Linked DNA regions of Drosophila melanogaster. The protein of the gene in region 1 interacts with the protein of each later gene in a pairwise test. Each region holds a gene or a part of one and is shown in the gene's direction. Other genes may lie near its edges. The genes, in order: CG34376 and CG32121.

Region 1 (17,104 bases):
TCCACAGAACGTTGAACAGGCGACCCAAGCCAGGAACTGATATCCGTGGAGAGAGCAGCGGCAGTAGCTGCAACACCAGACGGTAAACTCGCAACTGGATGTGGTCGTAATCCGTCAGTTCCGAACGGGACGCGGCCAAGGCATACCACAGATTGTTGAGGATGCTGATGACACCCTCGATGATATCGAACTGATGGAACTCTGTGTCGCGGATTACGCCCACCAGCCAGGACAGGATGCCTACGTGCTCCAGCATGATTTTCACAGCTCCGGGAATTTTGACGCATGTGGAGAGCACCGAAAGCAGCAGCAGATTCGTTTCCAAACTGGCCAAACTGGAGCCGTAGAATCCAAGGAGGACCTTGAACGTATTGGTGGATACCAGCAGGAAAAGGTCGGCGCTGCACTTAATGCCGCATCTAAGCAACTCCACGATAAACTCGCGGTACTGCTGGTGCTCTGGTTCCTGGGAGTAGAAGAAAACATTGAAGTCGGGTATCGTTTGAAAGTTGAAGCTCTGTTTCAGCCGCAAATACATCATCAGTCGCTTGTACAGCAAATGCGTTGGCTCTGTGCTCAAATTAAAGCTGTGAGCGATAAACAGGCCAGGAATCAAAGGAACTCTAGGCGTTCCGCCATGCGTTCTCCTCTGTGCCAGCCAGGAGTTTCTCAGATCAGCCAATCCTGCCTGAATGTTCTCATAGGCCTGCGTCCACAGCGGACGCTCGTAGAAATTGGAGAGCTCGAAATGAGCACGATAGCGTTGCTGGCAACTGGCAGCCGCCAGTCTCATGTCCTTGTCCAGAGATGATAGACCGCAGAAGGTGATCGCCAGTAATCCATTCTGGACAGGCCAACGGGCCCACACTACGGACTCGGGTGCAAAGCAGTGCATCATCAGGGGTAACAGGAAGGCGGGATCGTAGCAGGTCTCGTATATAGTCTCGCGCTTCGGGCAAATTCGTCGTAAATCCTGTGGGAAATCTAGCTGACCCTGCTCCACCATTTGCTCCAACTGATTGTCGCCAAAGCTCATGGATTTCTTAGCAGGATTTTGAAACTCCGTGGAGGGTAGTTGTTGGCTAGCATGGAGGCTTCTCCAAATCGGGAAATTTTCAATGGTGTACTCGCTAGTCTCTCGAACAATCAGGGCTAGCACCTGAGCCACATTCGTCTCCTGCTGTTGCAGCCTGGTTCGCACATCCTCGTCCGCAGCCCTCAGGGCATAATGGGCCACAGCACTTTCGCCCCAAATGAAAGGTCTAAACTTATCCAAGCCCACGTCAAAGCGTTCGTAGTGCTCCAGCAGTGCTAATCCATATCGATCCGCAGGTGACAGTTTTGCATGATAGGAGCCAAGGATTACGGGTATGTGATCAGATTGCAGGGCACTAGGAGCCTTTCTGGCCAACACCTCCATTAGGTGTAAAATGTGCGTTTTGGTTTCACTTGGCTTGCCTAAGAGATGGTCAAAACAGCAGGAGTGCGTGCAAATCATTTCGTATAGAAGTGTTGGTGTTGCATCCTCCTCCTGCTGTGCATCCTCCTTATATTCATCATACATTCCATCACACAGGAAGGCCATCAGCTTTAGAACAAGCCCATTTGTTTCATCCTGAAGTGGCAATCGTTCCTCGCCGAGGTGAAGGGCCAACTTTAAGCTACTCTTGCAAAAGTTAAGCCACTGCGGGTTCTTTTGCAAGCGACTCCAGTCCAAGGGTAGATCGTCGGTCCGATTCGTCTTCCACCACTCGTAACAGTTCCACGAGATTTGCTCTAGCTTAGGCAGATCCAAAGCCTGTTTCTTCAAATCCAGTGCTAACAGTTGAACATTAAGGTTTATATAATTAACAAAGACGGTGGCCTTTTGCTTTTCATCCTTAGCGGCAGCAAAGCCCTGCCAGTAAATCTCACGCAGGACTCGCACCTGGAAAAGTTCCACGGAATCGAGCTTCAGTTGTTTCTGGCAGTAATCGAAGCACTCAGACTTTGGCATGCAAAGTGCAATAAGAAGAGCGCTAGCCTCCGAATGCTCCCGGTAAATTAGGGCAGCCTTCTGTGGCTTCTCGATGCTCTTCATGAAGCCGTTCTTGTAGGTCTGATAGCAACGTTGAAGCACTGGTAGAGGTATCTGATAGTTCTTCGTCAGAGCAATATCCAGGAGGGGGTACACCAAATCCTTTTGCTCCAAATTGCTTGGCAGTAACTCTGCGAATGTTTCAGCTAATCGGGGCTGGCGCTCGAGCAGCAAGCAGGCCAAACGAATGGCGGATTTGCTGAGTTTTCGAGAGGATGTAAAGAAACAGGCAAAGAACTCACTGTCGCACTCATCCATGTGATGATGGTAATTGAGCAAAAACTCCAAGACGGCCAACTCAAATGGTTCCAGTTGCTGTTCATTCAGCTCGCCGAAGTCCTTGTAGAAGGTCAGGATTAATTTAAATGACTTCCCGCAATCAATGGGCTCCTTTAACGTGTTCAATCGACCCAGCAAACGTAGAAGTAGATCAAAGTAATGATTTGGTTTACCATTCGGAATGCAGTCCTTTGCTTGCACTTTGGTTGTTAGCAAGTCCAGCATTTGAGAGCATTGATCAGAATTGAATTCAAATGAATCCACCAATTTCACACACTCGTCGAGCTGCTGCTGATTTCCCAACTGGTCCACCGGTGTATCCAAAGCAATATCCAGGGTCTTAATCAAGTGCAAGCGATAGTTGGCAGTATAGGTCTCGAATCGAGGCAAGCTGCGGCAATGCTCCATTAATCTCCTGAGGAAGATAACATAGTTCAAGCGAGATTCGCTCGTCTCACTAAGCAATTCAGTGGGGTGCAATTGCCACAGACGATGGTTAAATATATAGTGCAGCATACTTTGAGTAAAATTTTCGTCCTGCTGCTCATCATCCGACTCCTGAACTTCTTCTGGCCCATCTACCTGACTGGCAATTTGAAGGAATTTAATAAGAAAATCTGCTGTCAGCTCTGCTTGAGGTTTGCTTAATTTCTGGCTGGTGAAGAAATGGCTAAAAACGAAAAGCAAATCCTGGACGTAGATCATATTGCGACGTGGATTTCCGAGGGAGGAATGCAACAACATTGTCTGGCCCTCTTCTAGTTGTAGCTCGAAGTTGTTTTCCGTATCATCCATTTTAAATACCTGCTCGAATGACATGTTTTCACTTTCGGTGCTAACCTTTCGCATTTGCTTAAGCAAGGGCCATTTATCAAATATAAGGTGGGGAAGTTTCTTTGGTTTACCATTTCCTTCACCAGGCAGCCAACTCTTCATATAGTTAGTGTGCTTGCTTAAGTTATCCTCGTACATTTGCAGCACTATTTCCGGCTTGCTGTGATAGTGGAAAAGCAGAACAAATACTAGCTCCACATATTCGTCGTATGGTTCCTCCAATTCTACACCCTTTAGCAACAGCGGCATCATCTTGCTAAGGGTAAGAGTTTCCACATAAGCTTGCACTGTTTGACCTTGCTCAATTTGAGCAAACAATTTGCTCAGGTTCTTGGTGATTATGGCAGTATCCGTAACGCTTTGTTCAGGAAGCTCAATCTGTCTCCAATCCAAACAGAGTATGGTCAGCAGAATCTCTACTACGTTGGTCACCGTAGCGGGACCGAATCCAATAAGGGCCTCTATCCAGATATTGATCTCATGCCTGCAGGAGTCAAACATCCCTGTGTTTTGGAACAGCCGACTCAATATGTTTCCAGACTCCGATTTGATTGATTTTTCCTCCAACATGTAGGCTTTTATGAATGATTTGAATACGTTCCCGAAAAGCGGTTGGGTTGGGTTCAAGGAGTGCGGAAAGAGCAGCAGGATGGTTTTAATCGACTTCAGTTCTAATTGAATCTTCAAGAGCTCTTCCGGTTGATTCAGTTTGTCAAAATCAGTTTCGTATAGGGGTCGCAACACATCCAAATAATCCAGAATCTGACTTGTCTTATTCACAAACGCTCGATTCTCCTTGCAGAGTAGCATCACCAGATCTAAAGTGATTGATAAACTCTCAAGTACATTCACTCCTTCCACGTTTTTCTGTTTGATGAACATGTAAAGCGAATATAGGATGGACTCGATAGTGGGAAAATGCACCAGCAGATGGTTAAGTAAATCGAACTTAAATTTACGCAGCGAGTTGCCGGCTTTTTTTGATTGCTCTCGGACAGCAATGGCATTCATATAGTTGCTGTACTGTTTCATCATGGAAAGCAGCAGACGCAGTACAGCCAATCTCAAATTGAAGTCTGGATCGCTCAGGTACTTCTTACCCGTAATGTGAAGCAAAGCTTCGATGGGCAAACACAGCTCCTTGATCCAAAATGAGAAATCCGTTAGGGTCATCTTATCGAATGCTGCTGATAGAGCACTGGGCGGGACTGCATTAATGATTTGGGCGAGAAACGCCACAGCTATGGGCAAATCTTTCGGCTTGGTTTTGACCGGACTGAGCAGAGAGGAACAATTCCTCACTGTATTGCGTCCCAAGTCTGGACAAGCAGTTAGTGTTTGAATAACCAAATCCACTTTGCGCGGATTATCGTAGGGCTTGAATAGAGAGCCAAGTAATCTGCCCTGCAGTTTGTTTTGCTTTTGGCGGTAGTGCGTCATCGCATCAAAGCAGATGCCGTGCTTGCGGGAAGTCAAAAGGACTAGCAGGAGTTCGTGAACGGCAGCCGATACCGCTTCCGCCTCCTGTGGGTTTGGAGGTATCTTAGAAACATGTTTCGATTTAGCAAACATCACCTTGAGTCCCATGGGTCCCTCCCAATCGTAGAGGCGACGCAGATTTTTGCAGCACTCTAAATCGAAAACCAGAACCTTTTTGGTCTTCTGTATTTCGGGGTTCTCCAGCACATATTGCCGTAGTGCGTTAAGCACCACGCAGACGGTTACGTGGTCATCGTAAACCAATCCCTTGGCCAGCACACCAATTAGTTGCCCTCGATCCAGGATGTTCCGGATAAGTAGAGTATTGCCCTCGACCAGGAAGGCCAAAATAAAGAGAATAAACGCTTTGCGCACTGTATCCTCGCATTGGTATTCACTTTTTTCATGGGACAGCAATTTCTGCGTCACAGTCACGTTGGAAAGCACATCATACGAATTCAGAACTTGGCGGGCCAATTGAGGCTCCACGCACACAATAGCGGTGAGCAGTTTTAGGGCATTACGCCGATGGCCTAGCTGCATTGATTTCATTTGATTTTCGAGCACTCCTCCGTGAACCTTGAGAAAATATCTACACCCGTGGACAGCCGACTCCATGTGGCTCTTCTGGTTGGTAAGTATTTCCATCAAAACTCGGTGCAAAGCCTCTGTGAGGTAGTCCACGTGAAATAAATTAGTCTTATCGATCCTTTCGAATGCTTCTGCTAACTCCAAGGGCTTTCCACGCTTTTCTATGTACTTAGCCGCAAGCTTAGGACGCGTGGTTGAGCACATGTGCAGGAAGTGTCGCAGTTCTGGAATTGGGATTCGTGAGTTAGCGATCTTTTATTGAACGTATTAACCCACCTGTTATGAAGTTATTGCCGCGAAGCTTGGTTCGAAAGTGCATCATCTTAAAGTCGTTGGGAAAGTGTATGCGGGATTCTTCGGGATCAATCCCGGAATCGCGACTTATTTCATCCTCAGCCATCTCCACTTCCACCTGTTGTTCTACACTTGTGTCGGATGTCTTTGTCTTTTTAGACTTCTTCTTTGATGGAGTGGAGTCAGCAGGATCGGTTTCAGTGCTTTCCAGCGTGGATTCATCGAATGATTCCTTAGTTTTATCCTTCTTTTTCTTTTTCTTCGGTGTGTCGGACTCCTTGGCCAGTTTTTTGGGCACCTCCACTTCACCTTCATCCTCTTGCTCAGCAGTTGTCTCCTCGTGCCTTCTCTTTCTTCGATTGGGTTGAATGGCCATTTTGCTTTAATAATAATATTATAAATTATATTTGCCTATTTACAGCATAAATCGTTTAAAATTTAAGTTAAACACAAAAACAGCCGCACACACGTGCTGGCAGAGAATGGTATGACCCTTTTTAAAATACCGAAAAATACCGCCCTTGTTTCAGTGTTGTATAGGGCGACACTTGGCGCGCTAAAATATAAACTGGCGAAACAGGAAAAAAAACAGAACAGCAACTTATTCAAAGAGATTAAAGTTATGATTTAATTTACCAACAATTTTATACTCTCCAACAATAAACAACGTATTTTACTACAATACTAACTACAAAGGGTGCACAACTTTGAAAAAACCACATCTCGGCACGGAATGACTCATAATCCAATCTGCCATTTGGCAAATTTACAGTTTTCCCTGGACGTGAACGTTTTTTCTGTTCCTTTAACCACGTCTAGTCATCCTCGAGGGCCGCATTGGTGGCTCCTCCAGATCCATATCCAGATCCTGCAGGAGCCGTGCTAGTCACCGATCCAGAAATCGGGAATTCTGGCAGAGTGGAGCGTTGTTTGGCTGGAGCCGGCGGAACCGCGGGCAAATCGACTGATTTACTTTTGCCTGCAAGTACACAACTATTATTAGTCGCTGTTATTGCCTTCTGAAGATAGCTGCAAATCACTTACCAAAACAACAACCCATTATGGTATACTCTTTACTGATTCTCGGGACGAGTGGGCTAATTTGCTGAAAGTTCTTTGAGCACTAAATCGGGCAAATCAAATCGGTGGCCAATTGACTGGGTGCGTATGTGTGCACCTGAGGCGTACAAACGACTCATGGCTAATTGATAAGCCCTGCTGTTACTTTTATTCTCTTTTTGTTTAAAATGTAAAGTGGGTTATTTATGACACCATGGGTAGGTCTGCTATCAACAGTGTAGTTCCCCATCGGCCGTATTAGCATCGTGCAAAGAACCGTAGAACTGTGATAAAAGCGGACAATGCCGGTCGGATATAACCGCAACGAAGCGACCAACAAACCAATTGCGATAAGCTCTTATCAGGGGAAAACGTTTTCAATGCTCTCTAATTGGCGCTAAATATTCAATTGTCGTTATGATATCGTTTATCGAAAAGGCTATCGATTGAAAATTCCGCTCTTGTGGGCCAGATTTCAAAAACGCTTAGAAGCATTTGACAATTCAAGCAATTTACGTAGTAATTGCGAACATTTTTAACAAATTAGTAGTTAACATACATTTTACAAAAATATATATTTGCAGGATTTATAATCTCTTTAGAATTATTATTTCTGTATAAAATCCCAGAATTTCATTCCTCTCTAACGTTTTTCTTTGTGATAACAGTTTTGATTGTTAATCAAATTTTTATAGCTGGAATTAAAGTTCAGCAAACATTTTCGTTTGTTTACCAGTGGCCAGTGAGACCGTTCGCTGTGGCGCCTAAAAAACCAACATTTCACTGTTCCTCAAAGTGCGGGGGGGTGGTGCGTTCATTATCAGCCGGAACGTAAACAGCGTCGCTGCTTTTCACGCTTTCCGATAAAAATGTTTAAATCACACTGTGTTAATTAGAGCCCAAATCAAAATCAATGCGCCCGTGGACGCGAACGACTCGAGATCGTGTGCGCGTGAATGCGGATCGAGTAGTTGGTAGCTAGTTTATCAAATTCGAACCCTTGATATAATAAAAATAAAGGTGCGCGAGAATACGTGAATTGCGATTTTTGGCCCGTGAACGAATCACGAGCAAAGCGGATAAACAAAAGCCATAAAAAACAGATTCGCACGAGAATCATCGCAAAAGTCTGTGCGCATAAATTACGCTCCCCAATTGGAATTGGAAAAGTCTGGTTTTCGGCGAGCATCCGCATCCGCGATGGACGACGAGTTTAAGCTGTGCTGGAAGAACTTCCAGGACAACATAGCCAGCGGCTTCCAGAATTTGTACGACCGCGGCGACCTGGTGGACGTGACCCTCGCCTGCGATGGAAAGCTCCTCCATGCCCACAAGATAGTGCTGGCTATCTGCAGCCCCTACTTCCAGGAGATATTCACTACCAATCCCTGCAAGCATCCCATCAGTGAGTACACCGATTAGGCAGCACAAGATTGCGGCCCCATCGCCGGCGTCCCCGGTTTAAATGCTAAGTTATGCAGCGTGGCTTACATTGTCAGCGCGGCATTTATATGTGTATTTTGATACTGGGCACGGAAGTGGTCTTCCAGAAATTGGTCAAGTTTAATGTTCCGAGCTTTCGTTGCCATGCATATGGATGATCCTAATGGAACATTGAGTGCGTAACTGAAGGATTCGGGTTTCTTACAAATTGCTTGGCTCTTGGCATTGCAAATACATTGTAGACATATTTTCTTGGAATTTTAATAAGCCGGAAAAGAGTCTGACTATTCGCTGGGCTATTTCATACCCTTCACATACATACATAGTCTGTATAATGCCAGGGAAGAGTGACTGCTGGTTACTTGGTCAAGCATATTCCCCCAGAAATCGGTCAGTTTATCACTGGGACAGCGGTGTCAGTTTATCGAGGAGCCCGCCCGTCAGCCTGTCTGTTCATCACTCTTGTCAAACGCTTAGATATAAATCAACCTTTGTGTTAAATTCCATGACACATTCGGTGGTTATCAGCCCAGCTCCACCGCCAGTTCGATTCCGAGTTCCAGACGAGCGTCCCAGCACGACTACGTCTGTCTTTACAGTATCGCTACCATAAATCCAACTATACCCGCCCTATTAACTTTACACTTTATTTCATAAGCCTAACTTGCCTTTTTTTTAGCATACAAAGTAATCAATCGAATAATATTGTTAGTCGTTTGATGGATCGCCCATTAAAATTAAGTAGTGCAGCGATATTAGGAAGATTATAAATCGTTTATGCAAATGCATTAAGGTTTATCCAGCCTACAGTTATCTAAAGACTTTGTAATGAACTGTAATCATTTGATAACCGATTTGATTTACTAATCCAATTCAGGGTAATATAATCCAATTCGTAATATCTGTCCGTTTCTGATTCATGTTCCAGTTAGTGAAGTTTGACTGTAGAGTCGTAAATCTAAAGACAAACAGCAGCAACCCACTAAGAATCGAGGTCTGGTGATAATCCTCCGGTGAGCCGGAGTGCCGCCGCGTTGTCTATGCCTGTGTGGTAGCTGCCGGAGTCCTCCGCCTCCGGAGGCACACCGGGATTGTTTACCCACGCCACGCACGGAGTATCCACCGGCGGAGGGAGTATCGTGATAAGGTCCATGGCAAGAGAGCGCAGAGTCGGAGCCGCAGCCCACTTCGATCGGATCGGGGAGATTGGGTGCGTTGCTGACCTCATCAAATGTACTTCAAATGGACTCTAGAACGGTGGTGTACTACTATTTATGTACGCTATATGGTGTATGGATATGATATCGCCGCGGCCCCTCCTGGTCGGTACGATTCCGATTTCGTTCGCAGTCGTGTTGAACACGGCTGCCTGCTGCACGGTGGCTTTATCTGATCAGGCGGCCATAAAAAATAAGGTTTTATCTTTTCAAGTAGCTGCAGGAAGGTGCTACCTACCCACAAACGCTGCTACAAGAGGTATTTCCAAAGATAAAGAATATTAATATACCCTATAAATAACGGCGAACCCAAGCGGGGGCAAGCTATTAAATGTAGACCAGCCCAGCCAACAACAGTCATCGAGGTGCTAACAAGCCAAATGGCTATGTGTTTGTTCCGTGTGTAACACGCAGAAACAACAACAATAGTCGAAATATTTTTTATCTTTTTATCGCGTTTAACAATCATTTATTGCCCAACTGAGTAACTGAGTGCCCGCCCGCCCACTCCTTCACCCTTACAGCCACTCGAAGAATTTAGTTTAGTCGAGATATTGATTAGAGAGCCTCGCAACATATATACGTGTTTCCGCTGCTCCGGACGTGTAAATCAATCCACACTGTGCCGTTCCAAGTGGTTATATCTGGCCAACAGTCACAGTCCCCAATACAATGCTAATCCTCCAAAATTATCTATTTATTATTGGCATAAACAAGACGGACATAGCTCAAAGAAGCTGGGGTCGGAAAAATCGAATTTTTGAAATTTGAAAGCTGGAATCGTTTGCCCATTTTTTGCCCATGTTTGCCCACCAATTAGTTTTTTTTGCCCACGTCCAGTTTTTGAGATATGAATTTTCGAAAAAGTTCGAAAATTTTCGAAAATCAAAAATTTCGCTTTTTTCAAAATTTTTTTTTTTTAAATCGCAATAACATCGTTTGCCCACGTTTGCCCACCCTTTAGAATTTTGAAAAAATGTATACTTTAGAAAATATAAGGCTTTTAAGTTTACCTCGGTCTAATCAGAGAGTAAATCGTTTGCCCATCTCTTAAAACCAAATATTATCAACAAAAAACGTTTGCCCAACAATTATTATTAGTTTTTATCGTTTGCCCACCCTTTAAAAAACCTTTAACAAAAATTTTTTTTCGATTGCCCACATTTAAAATACAACCAATTTCCTTAGCCAACCTCTTTAAAATAAAAATTTCCAATAAAAAAAGTTTGCCCACCATTTAAAACTAAATAATTTCGATTGCCCACCTTTTAAAACTAAATAATTTCGTTTGCCCATCCTTTAAAATTCATTTTTAACGTTTGCCCACCCTTTAAAAATAAATTATTTCGTTTGCCCACCCTTTAAAATTTGTTTTTTTCGTTTGCCCACCTCTTAAAAATGGTTTTTTCGATTTTTCACCTATTAAAAATAAATTTGTACATATGTATGTAATAATTGTAAGATGTGGCGTCAAAAGCACAGTTACTTACAAAAGAACAGTTATTTACATATTTACATACATTTTCAATATATCCATAGTGTTAATCATTCATGAATTGTAACATCAATTTTTCTTAATCATTGTTTCATTTCATGGAAAATATTTTATATTGCAATATAATATATATGCAAAAAAATGTATGTATGTTTATCAACACTCTCCAAGCTCAAGAAAATTCTGGAATAAAATATTTTCGAAATTATTTAGTTTTAAGAGTGGGCAAACGAAAAAAACAAATTTTAAAGGGTGGGCAAACGAAATAATTTATTTTTAAAGGGTGGGCAAACGTTAAAAATGAATTTTAAAGGATGGGCAAACGAAATTATTTAGTTTTAAAAGGTGGGCAATCGAAATTATTTAGTTTTAAGAGTGGGCAAACGAAAAAAACAAATTTTAAAGGGTGGGCAAACGAAATAATTTATTTTTAAAGGGTGGGCAAACGTTAAAAATGAATTTTAAAGGATGGGCAAACGAAATTATTTAGTTTTAAAAGGTGGGCAATCGAAATTATTTAGTTTTAAGAGTGGGCAAACGAAAAAAACAAATTTTAAAGGGTGGGCAAACGAAATAATTTATTTTTAAAGGGTGGGCAAACGTTAAAAATGAATTTTAAAGGATGGGCAAACGAAATTATTTAGTTTTAAAAGGTGGGCAATCGAAATTATTTAGTTTTAAGAGTGGGCAAACGAAAAAAACAAATTTTAAAGGGTGGGCAAACGAAATAATTTATTTTTAAAGGGTGGGCAAACGTTAAAAATGAATTTTAAAGGATGGGCAAACGAAATTATTTAGTTTTAAAAGGTGGGCAATCGAAATTATTTAGTTTTAAGAGTGGGCAAACGAAAAAAACAAATTTTAAAGGGTGGGCAAACGAAATAATTTATTTTTAAAGGGTGGGCAAACGTTAAAAATGAATTTTAAAGGATGGGCAAACGAAATTATTTAGTTTTAAAAGGTGGGCAATCGAAATTATTTAGTTTTAAGAGTGGGCAAACGAAAAAAACAAATTTTAAAGGGTGGGCAAACGAAATAATTTATTTTTAAAGGGTGGGCAAACGTTAAAAATGAATTTTAAAGGATGGGCAAACGAAATTATTTAGTTTTAAAAGGTGGGCAATCGAAATTATTTAGTTTTAAGAGTGGGCAAACGAAAAAAACAAATTTTAAAGGGTGGGCAAACGAAATAATTTATTTTTAAAGGGTGGGCAAACGTTAAAAATGAATTTTAAAGGATGGGCAAACGAAATTATTTAGTTTTAAAAGGTGGGCAATCGAAATTATTTAGTTTTAAATGGTGGGCAAACTTTTTTTATTGGAAATTTTTATTTTAAAGAGGTTGGCTAAGGAAATTGGTTGTATTTTAAATGTGGGCAATCGAAAAAAAATTTTTGTTAAAGGTTTTTTAAAGGGTGGGCAAACGATAAAAACTAATAATAATGGTTGGGCAAACGTTTTTTGTTGATAATATTTGGTTTTAAGAGATGGGCAAACGATTTACTCTCTGATTAGACCGAGGTAAACTTAAAAGCCTTATATTTTCTAAAGTATAAATTTTTTCAAAATTCTAAAGGGTGGGCAAACGTGGGCAAACGATGTTATTGCGATTTAAAAAAAAAAATTTTGAAAAAAGCGAAATTTTTGATTTTCGAAAATTTTCGAACTTTTTCGAAAATTCATATCTCAAAAACTGGACGTGGGCAAAAAAAACTAATTGGTGGGCAAACATGGGCAAAAAATGGGCAAACGATTCCAGCTTTCAAATTTCAAAAATTCGATTTTTCCGACCCCAGCTTCTTTGAGCTGACGGACATCGTCTGGGGGCAATCGTTTTATCAGCCCAGCGTTTAGTGCCAACCACTTTACTTTGGGTATCACTCTTGATCGTAAAATAAGATTTTGAACTTATTGCTCGTTAGATAACGCACTCAGACAGCCGCAGCATGTGCCATGTGTGATATTGGGCCTCTCCAAGAACCAGGTCCAAGCCACTTCCCTTCCAAATCCCCGTTGCCATGTAGTCCCCTAACCACCTGGCCACCTGGCAATTCCCACTCCCGATTTGAAGTAGCTACGGCGATCGAATATAGCCGCGGTTGCTTACCAGCCAGCGTTTGGGTTCGGAAGATAATATAATATCGATTCGCCGGCTGGACTTGTCGTAAATATTAAACACCCAATGTTATTAATATATTGCCGCACCGTGACTAAAAACAAAGTCGTCGTGCTATTTTTTTTCCCAACGCTTCAGAGGGGGTAAAAAATTTTTATTGATCGCTGCACTATTTATTTGGGCAAAATAATCCATTTTTGGCCACGTTGGACTTTGAGTTTCGGTGCGTTCTTAACCCCTAATCTTGAATTTGTTTATTTCGATGTTATACGCTTGCCAAGATTATCAAAAGTGTTTGAATTGGTCGGCAACGAAGGATTGGGTCTTGTGGCAGGTAAAGATAGCTAGTTTTTGAGTTTTCAAAAAATCTGAGATTGGTACTAAAATTAGGAAATAAAGGAATTCACTTTTTTGATAATTTAGTAATGATGATCTTCGCAAAAACGAAAGATCAGCATTTTATAGTACACTTAAATGAAATATTTTGAAACTTTCACTCAAATATTAAGATGAGTTGTAGTAATGCTTACTGCCTAATCTACTTAACGCTTTTAAATTCGTTAATACAATTGAATTATCGAGTTTATAAACCCTTCTACATTTCCTGCTTCTGGGTTACCCAATCGATCGAATCGAAAGCTGTTTACGTACGTATTTTATGGTCTCTTCGTATTATATCAAACTTTGACTTTGAGCATATGAAATATCATAAATGCTTTTTTATTGCCCATATGTGTTGACAATTTGTAATTTATTGCCCTTGTAGAAGTTAGAAGCCAGTAGCTAGTGGCTAGTAGCCAATAGCCAGAAATCGCCAATGGCCAAGAAGTGGCAATCGACTAAGCTGGGCTAATCCCTGGGCCATTTGCGCTCCTTCGGGGCATTTCTTTTCGAAGAGAGTTTGGGGCGGAAAAGGGAGGTATCCGAATGGAAATCTATGACCAAGCTTTTGGGTTGGCTGGGCCTGTCGTTGGGCTTGTTGGCCTTTTATCAGGTTGCACTACCACCACAACGACAATTCGATTCGACTACTCGACTATTATGGCGTTCGGAGATAACAAATATTTATGAATGTTCGTGCGACGACATTGTCAAAATGAGGCAGCCCACTCCACTACAAGCCCGACGGCACTAAACGAATCGCTGAGGGTAACAACAATGGAACCTATTGGCGTTCTGATTCGATAAACATTTATCATAATCATAAAGTAAAACTGTTTCGAAATCGATCGCCTGCGATCCGATTGGTTGAACCATTTGGAGTGGGCGTGATCTTATTGGTGAGGGTGTTCGGGCCCCAAAACAAATCAAAAACGAGACTGAGGCAGATATCGCTGCAGTTCCCCAATTCCCCGGTACCCAATTCCCAATTCTAGCAGACGCTCTGATATCAGCAGAGATCACTGCGGGTCAGGCGACCATTAAATCCATATTCCCTGGTAGATGGTACCATACATACATATATGGCATACATTTGGGCAAACAGCGATCGAGCTGCGATGATCTGAGTTTTGGGTACTGTCGATTCCCTTATCGGCAGAGCATGCACGGATTTATCACGTTCTCCGTGAACTTTAGACAGAGTTTCTCTACGGTCGGGGTCCATAAATGGTTTATTGATTCGAAAGAATTTTGTATATGGATCTCTTTGTCTCGATTCACGCTCGTTCTTTATCTCCGGCGATGCTGGCCATGTGTCTCCATCTCCGTGAACGGAAAAGTGAGGCAAATGATAGTGATAGTGGTGTATACGGTGTGCCCTCAATGTGTAATCCCGTATCTATCTGGCATCAGTTGAGACCCGATGTGTGCACTGTACCCCTGGAGCAATACATATGTATATTGCCTGGATTTTGATCTTCGCCAGGCGATCACTCGGTCGAATACGGACATGCCAAGGCGCAGATAGATAGATAGGCGAGACGGAATGATCCGTAATGACGACTACGGCAAACGATAGGGCACAATTGATGTCGTCGTTCGGTCAGATTAAGCAACCAAGTTTGTCTGTTGCTGATCGGCGATTTAATATTGTATTTACATACAGTCGTACATATGCGATGTATGTACGCCTGTTTGTGTAATAAAATTGTTATTGAGAACAAGTGATAATATTGTTTTTAACTAGATGTTGATGCTGCTAGCGAGACATGCACAGTGGGCAGGGGTTGATGGGAAAGCGCTGATAAGAATCAGTTTCAGATCAGCAAATTCGAAATAATCTGTCAGAAAGAAGTACGAACCTAATCTGGAATCGGGTTCAAACACTTTAATTCACTTGTGAATCCTACTTTTGGCGGGAATGAAATGCTAAATGATGAATTAGCATAAATAATGACCTTGCATTTTTGGACTCATTAAAAAACATATTTATATTTAAAAACGATTGGGAACTTATATTATCACGGCTAAAACATATGTATAGGCATTTTTGAAACACATAAAACCACTTTGATGGCCCACTGTGAACTATGAAATATTGAAACTTATGTGGCATGATCTCGAACCACCCCTGAGATAACAGATCCGCACCACTGTGGAGCCGATCCGATTCGAATCCGGACAGCTCCACAGCTTCTTAGGACGAGTGGGGAGCACGCGGATGATATGTCATGCTACTTATTTTATAATTATTGCTGTGCTACTGCTACTGCGTTGCTGTTGTTGAGTTTATATTTAAGTTTTCAGATTTCTTATCATAGCTGTTTTTATGTATTGATTTAGTATTTGAGCGTTTCGATGATAACATCTCCACTACGAATGTGACCTCCTTTCCTACTGATGTTATTATTGTCGTTTTCAGTCTTTATGTAAACAAGCAATTACGTTGAATTATTTTTGGGAGAGGGAAAAACATAAAAACGGTTTGTAATCAGTCTGGAATCATTTAAAAAATCCCCTTTGGTTTTAAACGCAATTCGAATATTCTTTGCCTTGTTGATAAACACGTTTTTGGATTTTTCCAAAAATGTTGTTTGCTACTTATCTTAAAAAAAATACCCTGTCTAATAACAAAATGTGATTTTTGTTATAACTTGTTTTGTATATTCCCAAATCTTTCTAGTAATACTCAAGGATGTGAGTTTCAACATTATGATGGAGCTACTGGAGTTTATGTACCAAGGAGTGGTTAATGTTAAGCACACGGAGTTGCAGTCGTTCATGAAAATTGGACAGCTGCTGCAGATCAAGGGCTTGGCTACCAATTCGAATTCCTCGCCAGGATCGAGTGTCTCGGAGAAGTCCTCTAGTCAGCCACCGGCAGAAGAATCAAGCAACACCAACAGCACCAATCATCACAACTCTAGCACTAATAGCAATAACAATAGCAAATCGGAAACGGATCACAATGAGTCCAAAGGCCAGAGCAATTCAAGAACCACTTCGCCAGGTGGTGCCAGCAGAGCCTCCAACGATGCCAGCCACCTGTACACATCGAACAAACGTCCGATGCCGTCGGATTTTGGCAGCGATTCCCTGTCCATTTACTCCGGCAAGCAGTTGAGACGCTCCCTCAAGGATCACGGTTCCGGCGGAAGCGAAGGCGGCGGAGGCGATCACGCGGATACCGCAGCCGGATTGGACAACAGCATGAATTCAGAGGAGTTCTTCTTGCCACCCATTCCACAAATCACGATGGGAGAACAGCGCTACGATCTCGGAGGTCTGAAACGGGAATCGGATGGTCACCACCACGGTCCCTTGTCGGCTGGCGGAGGAAATTCGGGCAGCGTTGGCAGCCTCACCTCCTCGGCCTCACCGTCTGCACCCATCCGTAATCCCTTTGCCCCGAACTTCATGGACAGCTTCAACTACTACAAGGGCGGCAACAGCAGTGGTCCCAGCGGTAGTTCCAATAACTCGGTTGGCCCAGGTGGCGTCAATAACAATGGCTCCGTGGGCCTTGGCTCCGGCGCCGAGTACCCCAACGAACTGTATATGCCCAACGATTACTCCAAGAGCTTTGCCAACCACATGGACATTCCCTCAAGTAGGTGGCCTCCAGATTTGTGCCACTGGCACTATTTTTATCACTTTTCTGTTGCATGTAGCTTGGCATTCATATTGACTTATTGTTTTATTCTTTATAAGATTGGGCTATTATTTTGCATCCATCATTCGGCACATAATATAACACGATCATTCACACCACGTACACACTAGCCCACTGAACTCATTGTCACTAACCAGGAATGGAGCCAAATGGAGACCTAACAGAG
Region 2 (3,600 bases), on another chromosome or scaffold:
CGAAGTTTTCCCGCAGTGCGCAAATGCTCCATTGGATACCTTTGTCATGGCCATCGAAGATTGCGCTTCATACATCTATTGCAATGGAGAAGACTCCTTCCGAGACAGCTGCCCCGAGTCCACCTACTTTGACGATCGAACCCAAGAGTGTGCCTTTGATGATGAGGGTGTGTGTCTAAGGAACTCAGACTCAGTCCAGACTGAGGAGCAGCCCGATAAGCAAACTACTGGTGAGGAGCAGAGCGGGATCGAAGAAACCACTCCCGTTCCAACACCGCCTTCTGATTACGCCTCTACAGGATCTGCGGACTCTTCTACTTTCCAAGCTGATTCTACAACAACCCCTACAGAATCAATTCCTTCAGTGACTGAGCCACCGACTACATCTGCTACGCCATCCTCCCCATCTGCAAAGCCTTCCTCTCCAGCTCAGGAAAGGCCGCACTGCGACATTTCCGGAGATGGTGACCATCCTCATCCCCAGCGGTGCGAGTACTACTACAGGTGCCTCAGCGGCTATCTGACCATTGTGAGATGTCCTTACAAGTATGGCTGGGACTTTCCTACAAAGCAATGCAAGCCTAGCAGCGAGGCTCAGTGCTTTAGTTATAGCTACTAGATTTATCTTTAGAAGCTCAACTTTGATCTAAATAAATTAGATTAGATTAGGCGATCTGTAGGTTGATTTCAAATCATTTTATTAACTTTTATACATTTATTTATATGTTCTTAAGATGAGGCTTTAACTTTGATCATAATCAAAAATAAATGAATAATTTCCTGTATGCACTTTATTTTTCTTTCTTAGAGTGTACATAGCAATCACGTGTGCATTTGCATTGTCAGTCAACTAGATAGTTGTTAGTGGTACTTTGACATTTAACGTACGTTTTATGTAAGGAATTATCCTTGAGTGAAGGGCTTATATACACATTGAGCTATTTACAGCCTCCAAGCTACGCGGCTGCTAACCCAAATCGAGGTGCGCACAGATGACAATAATAAATAAGTATTTGTGGCATTTTAATGAATTGAAAAGTGCATAATGAAGGTGCTGGGTGCCCGATGACCAACGGCGTCTCCATCTGGCGGTTCCATTTGTATTTGTCAGGCATAATTCACAAATCCAACGCGCAGGTATATGAATTTATTTTCGGCGGGCAATTTTCAAACGGCGGCAACTGCTGTCGCCGCTTCCACATTTTATTGCAAATTAATAATGCACACGATCCCGCAACAGTAGCAGCCGCCGCTGCACCAACAAATTCCTCCGCCTGTCGGCCAGTCGTGTCAATTGTGTCTAGTGGCGGAGTGGTCGCAGTTCCTGATTATGATGATGATGATGATGATGCCCTCATGATGATTTGCCACTGGCAAATGTTTTGATTAACTAACTGCGGGGCAGCCAATTAATTTTTGGCCAAGAGGCTTCACACTGATCGCGAGTACAAAACCGCTGAGATTTCTCTTCGCTGCGCCGATGCGGCCTGCTCATTAATTAAAGAACATGGAATCGGGCGACAAACGGATCCGCCCGACATGCTGAGAGCCAAATTCGAATCCGCTAAACAAATGGCAACAGCAGCAGCAACAACATTTGGGCCAACAGCAACACCAACAAGCAACAGCAGCAGCTACAACACCAACAACAGCAACACAAGATAGAGGAAAATTGTCAAGAGATGGACATTCGAAAAATAGAAAATCTCCAACTAAACCGAAAGAATTGAAACATTTTCGGATTTTTTCATTTCAGATGCGAGCAGCAAACGGTTAACAAAGGTGCACGCTTGTCCCGTCGCGAAAATCGCGAAAGGGAAAATTCGTAACGGACGCGGGGAAAATGGCATTAGCAAAATATGTGTGAAAAGCTAGAAAAAGAGAAAAATAAATAAAACAAAAATGTGAAGGATTCGTTTAACGAGAACCCAGTGATAAACATAGAACCGAGTGATTAAATTATTCAAGTAAATTGTGTAATGTCGCTGCGAGCACAAAAGGAGATCTTCAATGTGAAAGATAGATAAAAAACAAACTGCGTGTCATAAAAACACTACATAAAATAACATGAGTTGAGGGAAAATATTCAATTTGATGATCGCCACGAGCATCCCATTAGCATAAAAGAAGTCAATTCGAGATCCTCAACCATAAGGGTTAGCCATAGAGCTCTATTATTAGACTTCCCCAGGGGCAGATATGCTGGGCCACTGGATTATGCGTGATTCACATATACCGCTGATCGTGCGAATTCTATATTGAAATTCAAATACCTCTCGGAAAAAAACAGCGTTGACATCAAATTTATGTGCGCCACATTTCATGGAACAAATGAAAGTTAAACAACAATAACAAAGGCAACGCAGCGAAGGCTTAAGCATGATTTCATTTTCTATCCACTTCCCTCGACATTCTCAACGAGGCGTATGAGTGATTATGTGTAAAATATTACGCATCAACGAAATAGCTTCGAAATGAACCAAAGCTAAAGGCAAAGCCAAATCCAAATCGAAATGAAAACGATTGCGAGGTGCTTTGGAATGAATTGCCATGGATGACAAAAGGCAGGCACTTGGACAACAAATCAAAATAGACAGCATGGCGAGAGCGTTTAGCACAGATCTTTATTTTTTGGATGGCTATTTAAAACAACAGCCAGAGGACGGTACAGGAGAAGGAGGTGCCGAGCTGAAAGGCTGAAAAACTAATTTCGGAAAATCAAGTAAAAACTGAGCGAAATACCAAAGAGTTACGGAAAAGAAGGCTGCCTGACTGTCACGACAACACTTTCTTGTGTGAACGAGCGCCAAAAAGGCCGCGCCGCTCCTCCTCCGACCCTCCATCTCGAGTCGCCATCCACCCCAATCCCCATCCCTCCAATCCCATAGCCAGGCATCCATTGTACCCCATCAGGCATGGCATGGCAAGGCAACCTCCACCATCCATCGTCTCTCAATAGAGAAATGCTTAGATGCGATTCTCAGTCCCATGTGCACACATAATGGAATGAAGAAAATTCCGTCGTCCAACAATTGCACGCTGGGCTAGCTAAAGTGCAAAGAAAACCAAAAGACTCGGACTTGTCACTTCGCTGCGGATTTGCATTGGCCGGGCTGCCTGTTTTTGGGGGGCCTCCAATGGTCGTCGGTGCAGCAGCAGCAGCAGCAGCATAGACCGAGAAATCCCCAAAATCCCCCACATACCGACATACCCACCCCAGCTTCCTTGGACTAGCTTCTTATAAATAGCCCTCGGACAAAAGTGTGAACCGCCCGCCCGCCCAGTGCATCACATGCGATCCGAACAATGGAAATTGCCAAATTTATAGTGTACCCAGAAACCCACAGTGGCACTGCGATCAGATCGCCCAGGCCAGGCCAGCCAAGGAAAACTTATTTTATTTAAATAAATTTGGTTTAATTGCCAGCAAAGAACACAAATAACACTGGCCGTGTCTGTGCGTCTGTGTGTGTGCTGTTTTATTGTAATTCCGATTCGTCAACTGGGCACTCACCGAAACGGCCGAGTAAATCAGCCCGTTGACTTGGTCATCAAAACATAGAGGAGTACTCGACAATCCGGATACCTTGGAGGAGCTGG

What was found.
Region 2: the proteins of CG34376 (region 1) and CG32121 interact in a two-hybrid assay, tested with the Drosophila melanogaster proteins (one study listed by BioGRID).

What each region holds. Positions count from the first base shown.
Region 1 is NT_033777.3:22,440,603-22,457,706, forward strand, and holds the start of CG34376 (uncharacterized protein), read left to right. Parts: upstream 1-7,496; 5' UTR 7,497-7,813; coding exon 7,814-8,018; intron 8,019-15,948; coding exon 15,949-16,875; intron 16,876-17,104. Other genes in the region: CG12499 (uncharacterized protein), read right to left, coding at 1-5,484, 5,537-5,930; CG34288 (uncharacterized protein), read right to left, coding at 6,370-6,533, 6,599-6,614.
Region 2 is NT_037436.4:13,420,504-13,424,103, reverse strand, and holds the start of CG32121 (uncharacterized protein), read left to right. Parts: upstream 1-1,767; 5' UTR 1,768-1,782; intron 1,783-3,600. Other genes in the region: CG33263 (uncharacterized protein), read left to right, coding at 1-619.